Tribolium castaneum: one gene and its partner. The protein of the gene in region 2 interacts with the protein of the main gene of each other region in a pairwise test. Links are inferred from orthologs where the notes say so. Each region holds a gene or a part of one and is shown on either strand. Other genes may lie near its edges. The genes, in order: serine/threonine-protein phosphatase PP1-beta catalytic subunit and sds22.

Evidence for each region.
Region 1: the proteins of sds22 (region 2) and serine/threonine-protein phosphatase PP1-beta catalytic subunit interact in binary tests that used the Homo sapiens proteins (3 or more experiments, as listed by UniProt). The link is inferred for Tribolium castaneum from reciprocal best matches to the Homo sapiens genes PPP1R7 and PPP1CB.

What each region holds. Positions count from the first base shown.
Region 1 is NC_087402.1:10,010,839-10,014,013, reverse strand, and holds the end of serine/threonine-protein phosphatase PP1-beta catalytic subunit, read right to left. Parts: intron 1,595-3,175; coding exon 1,308-1,594; intron 1,258-1,307; coding exon 1,156-1,257; 3' UTR 591-1,155; downstream 1-590. UniProt on the Homo sapiens protein: Protein phosphatase that associates with over 200 regulatory proteins to form highly specific holoenzymes which dephosphorylate hundreds of biological targets.
Region 2 is NC_087399.1:5,888,714-5,892,961, forward strand, and holds sds22 (protein phosphatase 1 regulatory subunit 7), read right to left. Parts: upstream 2,673-4,248; 5' UTR 2,558-2,672; coding exon 2,518-2,557; intron 2,466-2,517; coding exon 2,192-2,465; intron 2,145-2,191; coding exon 1,982-2,144; intron 1,240-1,981; coding exon 754-1,239; 3' UTR 577-753; downstream 1-576. Other genes in the region: longitudinals lacking protein, isoforms H/M/V, read right to left, coding at 15-188, 244-423; CSN4 (COP9 signalosome complex subunit 4), read left to right, coding at 442-524, 3,067-3,146, 3,196-3,899. UniProt on the Homo sapiens protein: Regulatory subunit of protein phosphatase 1.

The DNA of each region.
Region 1 (3,175 bases), on a different chromosome or scaffold from region 2:
TTTGGACCTTGAATAATACCTCCATTTTTCGGAGCGCCTACATTAATTCATTAATCCATTAATTTGGAGTTATAATTTTTCATTTTTATGTACAACAGAAAAAAATAAACGCAAAAAGCATAAAGGGTGAAATTATAAATTGTTACGCCTTCTGAAACCACGTCACAGTTACAGGTATAGTGATAAAAAAGGTGATAGTATCTCTAAGCTTTGATGAATAATGTAAGTAATTATTGTAACACTTCGATAAGGTTATTTGTTTTATGATAAAATTCTAAACGTATTTGTGTATCTCATAAATTGTGTAAAAATGCTGCTAAATTAAATTTGGTAAACGCCTATATTTGAATAAAATATTTAAGAAATTAGTCTTTGGGCACTTTATTACTGTTTGCTGGCCTCCTGCAAATTATGACCTCTTCCGCTTCCAGTTTTTCTTATTTAATTCGAGTTTTTATTGATTCTTCATAAAAACTGTCATAAAAAGCAACTCATTACTCATATTTAGAAGATCAGAAAAATTTCCACTTATTCTAAATTGTGTTAATCGGAGAAAAAGGACAAAGGTTTGAAAGATAAAAAGGCGTCGCTAGTAATATATAGATTTATTTGTCAAATTTAAAGTACATTAGGTGAAATAGATTTGTCAATAGAACGAAATAAAATATAAAACATAAACGATAGTACGAGTGAAAAAATCGCGTTTATGCCAATTTCTATACAAAGAGGTGATTGCAAAATGTCAAGATGCGATTGCAGCATTTAGGAACCAAAGAAAAATGATTCTTCTACAACATTTAATGACCAATCACAAAGTCTTTGGCTGGGCCACTTTATGATGCACATGGAAATGCAAGCAAGATAATTTAACAATAGTTTCTTTAAATAATACACCAATCACTGGTCTCGTTCCTAAATAAATTAATAATTGCGTATATTTATTTACAATAGAAATACGACCAGTCAGTCAAAAAGAAAACTCCTAATCAGTCAAAATAATCACAATTTAATTAAAAAAAAATGAACAAAACTAAATAAATATACAAAATAATAATACTTCAACACAATGCGACTGACTGTCTAGCAGTATTAGAGAATAAACGTTACAAATGCATTAGTTGAATAAAAATGAAAAGAGGTGTCAATTACTCGACTTTATTTCTTTTTAGTTGTTGGGTTTCTCTGAGGCGTTGAGGGACGTCCTGAGTTCACTCCTTGGTATTGATACTTGGCTTTCTTTTCCGACGGCTTCAAAATCTACACAAAAAATTACAAAACGAACCAAAACACAAAAACCTAATCCTCACCTGAAAAGAACACATTAACGTTTCATCTACACTCATCATCCCTCCAGCGTTGTCAAACTCGCCGCAATAATTCGGGGCTGAGAAAAGCGTGACTAGTTGTCTTTTTGCGAAAAATTCGTACCCATCCTCCACCACTTGATGGGCGCGACAGATCAAATCTAGATCGTGACGGTTCAAAAATTTACTAACGACATCAGCGCCGAAAGTAAATGACACTCCGCGGTCGTTCTCACCCCAACCTTGCACGTCTTTATCAGGGTCGGACCACAGCAAATCGCACAGCAGACCTGGTTTTTGAATTAAATCGAATAAAATACCAGCAGCCGATGACTCCGAAATTAGGTTGGCAACACAGACTTTTTCATTTTCAGTGGAAGCACAAACAACCAAGGTGTTAACAAACACCGATTTTTCAGGTTTTTTCGTGCTTAAATCAAACATAAAATAACGCAAAAAAATGATTTGTTCACTTGCAAATATATAACCGAAAATTCTTCTTAATCTATATTTCGCAAACAAGTGGAGGTTTAATTTCAAAATGCAAAAAGTTGGCTTTATTTTGATGAATAAAATACAGAAATCATACACACAGGTCGTTTATTGTAAGAAAATTATTAAGTCGGTGATTTAAAATTTACATTTTTAAGCAAATATGCAAATAATGCACATCTTTTAATAGAATTAGTTCAACCTAGCATACTTTAATGATGGCCTTTCTCTGTTGAATTAGTTCCACATATCAGCCGATTTGTGAAATAAACACGTGCTTTTTTTCGATTTTAAGCAAGAAATTGTCCAAAATAAACTTTCAGTGTCTTCTATAAAAGTTTACTAATTTGTAAGCAAGGAATCATCCAAAATAAGCCATTTTCAGTCATGTTTCAAAAGGTTTGTGGTGCGAATAAAGCGACTTCAGGTTTTCGACAGCGAGTTTTTAACATTTTTGAGCAAGAAACCGTATAAAATAAACTGATTTCAAAAATGTTTAATTTTGCGTTTCCAGCCAGTTTAAAGAAATTAAAGTTATTAATAACACGAGTGCGAAAACATAAGCTTAAAGTTCGGGGGCTGTCGAGCGAGAACACACTCGAGAACTTCAAGCGTTTTCGTATAAATGTTATCAATTTTTTTTCGTTACAACATTTTAATTTAAAACACGTTGCTATGAGAAGCGTGTTTTAGAATAGTAAAAACACGTTGCTATCGGAAACGTGTCTTAAAACAGTGTTTGTAATATTCATATTAAAAAGAAGGCTTAAAAAGGTACCAACAGAAAATAGAAATTTTTCAGCGAGTTTTCTCATTTTATAACAAGAAATCGTCCGAAATTATATTATTTATCTTTAAATGGGTGCTGAAATCGTTGTTTTCCTTGACAGAATTTTTGACTCAGGAATCAACTCAATCAACTCAAATAATTTCAACAAAATTGACCTAAAGCCTACTTTACATTTTTGGCTGCGAGTTTTTTCGTTTTTAAGCAAGAAATCTACCAAACTAAAGTACTATTACCAACTGGTGCCCAATAGTCGTTTTTTTAACATTATAATAAAACGAATTTAAATTTTAACTGTCGAGTTTTGATATTTTTAAATACATAAAAATCAAATGATTTATTACTAAGATCTCTATTTTTTTGTGATACCCTTTTAAGTTGGAATTTATCGACACATTTCATTTGAGGAAACTTATTTTGTGACGAAAATTGTCCATAATTAAAAATATGAAAACTTTAGTTCAATCTGTTGTTTTTGATTGTTATGAATCACTAATTCCATGATTAAAAAAGATAGAAAAGATAATTAAAGTGATGATTAATTTAAACATTCACCCAAGCACCAATGTGTTGCATGATTAACAATTTAAAT
Region 2 (4,248 bases):
CTTTGGGGACTAACCTTCATATCACATAGTCCTTGTATTTTGAGGAGCTTGGCCAGGGAGAGCAGCCCTGGCAGCTGCTCCTTGGAGACCACGCACTGCCCCCTGTATATGAACGCCAGGACGGCCTTAATGTCGCTCAGGGCGACGTTATGCAGCACAATGACCGGATGCTGCGTGTCCCTCATTTCCTACAAGTGGGCGTAATGTCGTTTAAAAATAGACGGTGATTTCGCGAAAACTCACCTGGAACAGCTGGAAAAAGTACACACTGCACATTGCTAACACCAGTTTGTGCGCCTTAACGGTGTGGGATTCGACCGAGATGGTGACATCGGTGAGAACGTCGTTTTCGAGGAACGTGGTGAGGTTTTTGAGGAGGGTGAGCTCTTGGTAGTGCCATCGCAGGACGAACTGCTCGCTCATTGTGACGCGTCAGCTTGGATGGGAAAAATCGCAGGAACTGGCCCACAAACCCAGAATTTATCCAGCTTGGCTATTTTTAAAACTACTGGAGAACAAAACAGGTGCCAGCAAATTTGCTAACCTTTCAATTTCAAACGGAAATAACACGACGGGTTTATTGTTATTTGGTTTATTTTTACGTAGCAGGGGCTTATCAAAATTAAAACCGATTTTCACAATTGGGTGATTGGTTTATAATTAGACGCCTAAAATTAATCGTTACTCATTAGCTAATCAACTCATAAATGCACAGATGGCAACGGTGGTTTCCTTAATTTACAAAACAATATTTTACAACTGACACAAAGTCGCGTCGATCTGGGTTAGAGAGGGCGCGATCATCTTCAATTTCCTCCTGTACATCGGGTCCTTCTCGAGCGGATTCCGCTCCAAGTAAACTGTAGCCAGCTTTTTGTTCTTCGATAAATTCTCGACAGTTCCCCAATCGGAAACTTCATTATCATTCATCCAAAACTCCTCCAAGTCGTTCAAATGCTCGATGTTTTCAATCAACTTTATTTTATTTTTCGCCAAATCCAAGGTCTGTAGCAACGTGTTATGCGTAAGATTTTCTATTTTATGAATTCCGTTCTCGGAAATGTACAGTTCGGTCAATTGTGTGAGCTTATCCAAATTCTCGATACGCGTTATTCGGTTGCTTTGCAGGCTCAGACACGTCACGTTGGTCAGACTGTCCAAGTTTTTTATTTTTGATATTTTATTTTTGCCCAAGTAGAGGTGGGTCAGGGCTGGCATGTTTTCCAGGTTCTCTATGTCCTGCAATTAGGACGGTTTTAGAAGTCACAGATTATGACTAACAACTGAAAACACTCAAAGGATAAACTACGAAGATCTAAAGGTTAGAATATGAAACGACGTACAAATAAAACGTTCTCGTCCTCGATAGCTCCGTTAATGTCGCCAGAGGGCGCATTTCAAAACATGGTTGTATTTTTATTACTGTTCACACATAGCAAACAAAAAAAAACAGGCAGATATAGCATTAAATTCTCAATATTCAGAGATAAACACAGTGCAAAAATTTTATCGTAAACTTTTACCAATTTTGCACTCTGTCAGATATTTTTCAAAACGCTGCGAATACGGTTACAGATACAAGAAAAATGTTAGGAAGAAAATTGTAGAGAATTAAATTTCCTACAAAAAAGTCCGCGAGACCATGTTCCTATCTTGAACCATTTAGGCCCCAAAGTCGTTCAAAGACGCTCAAGCAACGGATTTCCTTAATTTTGCCGGTGGTCAAGTATTGGAAAGTTAATTCGTACCTAAACTATTAAAGATAGAAATATGGTGTCGCGGACTTTTTTGTAGAAAATTTTATTCTCTACAACTTTGTTCCTTACACTTTTTTTGTATCTTCAACTGTATTCGCAGAGCTCGCAGAAATATAAGGTGGAACGCAAATTGATAATTCTAAGCGATAACATTTATCAAAACGCTGGGAATACGGCGCAGTTTCGTCTCCTAAGTTATTATCCTCCATAGGATAAACACTTACCCTAATTTTGTTGTCCCCCAGCTCCAGCATTGTCAGCTTCTGCAAGTGCTTCACATTTTTGATTTTGCTGATTTTGTTCGACGACAGGAAGAGTTTTTCTAAATTGTGCAAATTCTCCAGTCCCTCAATCTCCTTGATACGATTAAACGACAAATCTAGAATCCTTTTAAAGCCATATTTCGCAACATTCACAAATGAGTCACTCCTTACTCTAAATTAACCAAACATCCCAGATTTTCCATTTTGACGATTTGGTTATCGTACAATTCCAATTCGCGGAGCGTGACTAACGTGTCCAAATTCTCAATTTTGGTGATCAAATTCCACCTCAGGAAGAGGCGCTCGATTTGTGTCAAGGGCTCAAGGTTTTCGAGCTTGCTGATCCTGCCATGGTTTAGGTCCAGCTCAAGGGTGTCCGGGTCTATTACCATTATTTCGTTGACAGTGGCCCCTTTTTCCTTATTGTCGTTCGAAGTGGACGTCTCTGGGGCTAACAATGAGCATGGACTTTCGACGAAAGTAACGAATTCTCTTACCGGGCTCGGGGGAACTCTCGTTTTGTTGCGGAGAAGGCATTTTTCGCACTCACACTGGACTATTTCTGTTTATTGCAATTTAATTAAGTGACTAATTTAAAGGCGGGTGACAGCAAACATCCGTGACGTTTGAGTTTGACTTCAACACGTGCAGCCAACCTATTAAATCAAATCGTCTTCCCCTTAACCCCTTATTCACACGTTAATTAAAGTAAACTGTACTTGCAATTGGTCGCAAGTATTTATTTACAGAGCAAAGACAACAATTTACTTGCAAGTGTGTTTTTTAGACAAAATTACCACAACCGGCAATAGCGTTGTGTTGGCAATTGCTGTTTTGTCAGTCATTTGTCAAAAACTACTTTTAGTTAAATTAAAATAATTTATTATTATTTGTGGCCAAAATAGTAGCGGAGCACCATGTCGGAGAAAAGCGCGGCTATCCGCACCCAACTCTCCAACATAATCGCGTCCGGGGGCTCCCACAAAGACCAGGCCGAAAAGTGAGGTTATGTAAAAAAAATTAAAAAAAACATTAATTTTTAACAGATATCGCGGTATTCTTGAGAACATCCTCGCCGGTTCGGGCCCCGAGCTGACCGAAGGCTTGCAGATATTCATCGAAGCAAGTCCGTACCCCCCACAGCCACCAACCCAGTCTAACTCAAGTCGTTTCAGTTGTCAATGAGAACGTTAGTTTGGTCATCTCGCGCCAAATCCTGACCGAAATAAGCTCGCATTTGATGAAACTACCCGACGATGTTTCCAAAACTGTCTCACACTTTATGCTTGAGAAGGTGCAACCCCGGGTTATTTCGTTTGAGGAGCAGGTGGCAAGTATTCGCCAACATTTGGCCGATATCTACGAACGTAACCACATGTGGCGCGAGGCTGCAGCTGTCCTGGTGGGAATCCCGCTCGAAACCGGCCAGAAACAATACACCGTGGATTACAAACTTGAAACGTATTTGAAAATCGCGAGGTTGTATCTTGAGGATGACGATCCGGTCCAGGCTGAGGCTTTCATCAACCGGGCGTCGCTGCTTCAGGCCGAGTCACGGAATGAGCAGCTTCAAATTTATTACAAAGTTTGTTATGCTCGAGTTTTGGATTATCGGCGGAAGTTTATTGAGGCGGCTCAGAGATACAATGAATTGTCCTATAGGACGATTGTTCATGAAGATGAACGCATGACAGCCCTTCGGAATGCTTTAGTTTGCACTGTTTTGGCTTCAGCGGGGCAACAAAGATCGCGCATGTTGGCCACACTGTTCAAGGACGAGAGGTGCCAACAGTTGCCAGCAGTGGCGATTTTGGAAAAAATGTACCTCGAAAGAATCATCAGGAGGTCCGAATTGAGGGATTTTGAGGCCTTGTTGCAGGTACGTGTATAAAAAGTGTTGTATTGTTAGTTGCATAACTATGATAAATTTGTATTTTTTTGAGTCCTTTGTACAATTAAATACTGAAAAATTATTGACATAAAAGTATCATCTTGAATTAAATTGATTGAAACAAGTTTTAAAGAAAATCTGCAAAAGCAATAAAAATACTAATACCATTTGTTAATTTGATAATCAGTATTATTAATTATTATTAATATTATAAATAAAATTATTATTATTAATTATCACCCTTACAAACGTATAATCATAAAATGAAGATGAATGTATTCAAATACCAACACAAGTAATATCTCTCTTAAGGGACACCTCCGATAAGCGGACCCCT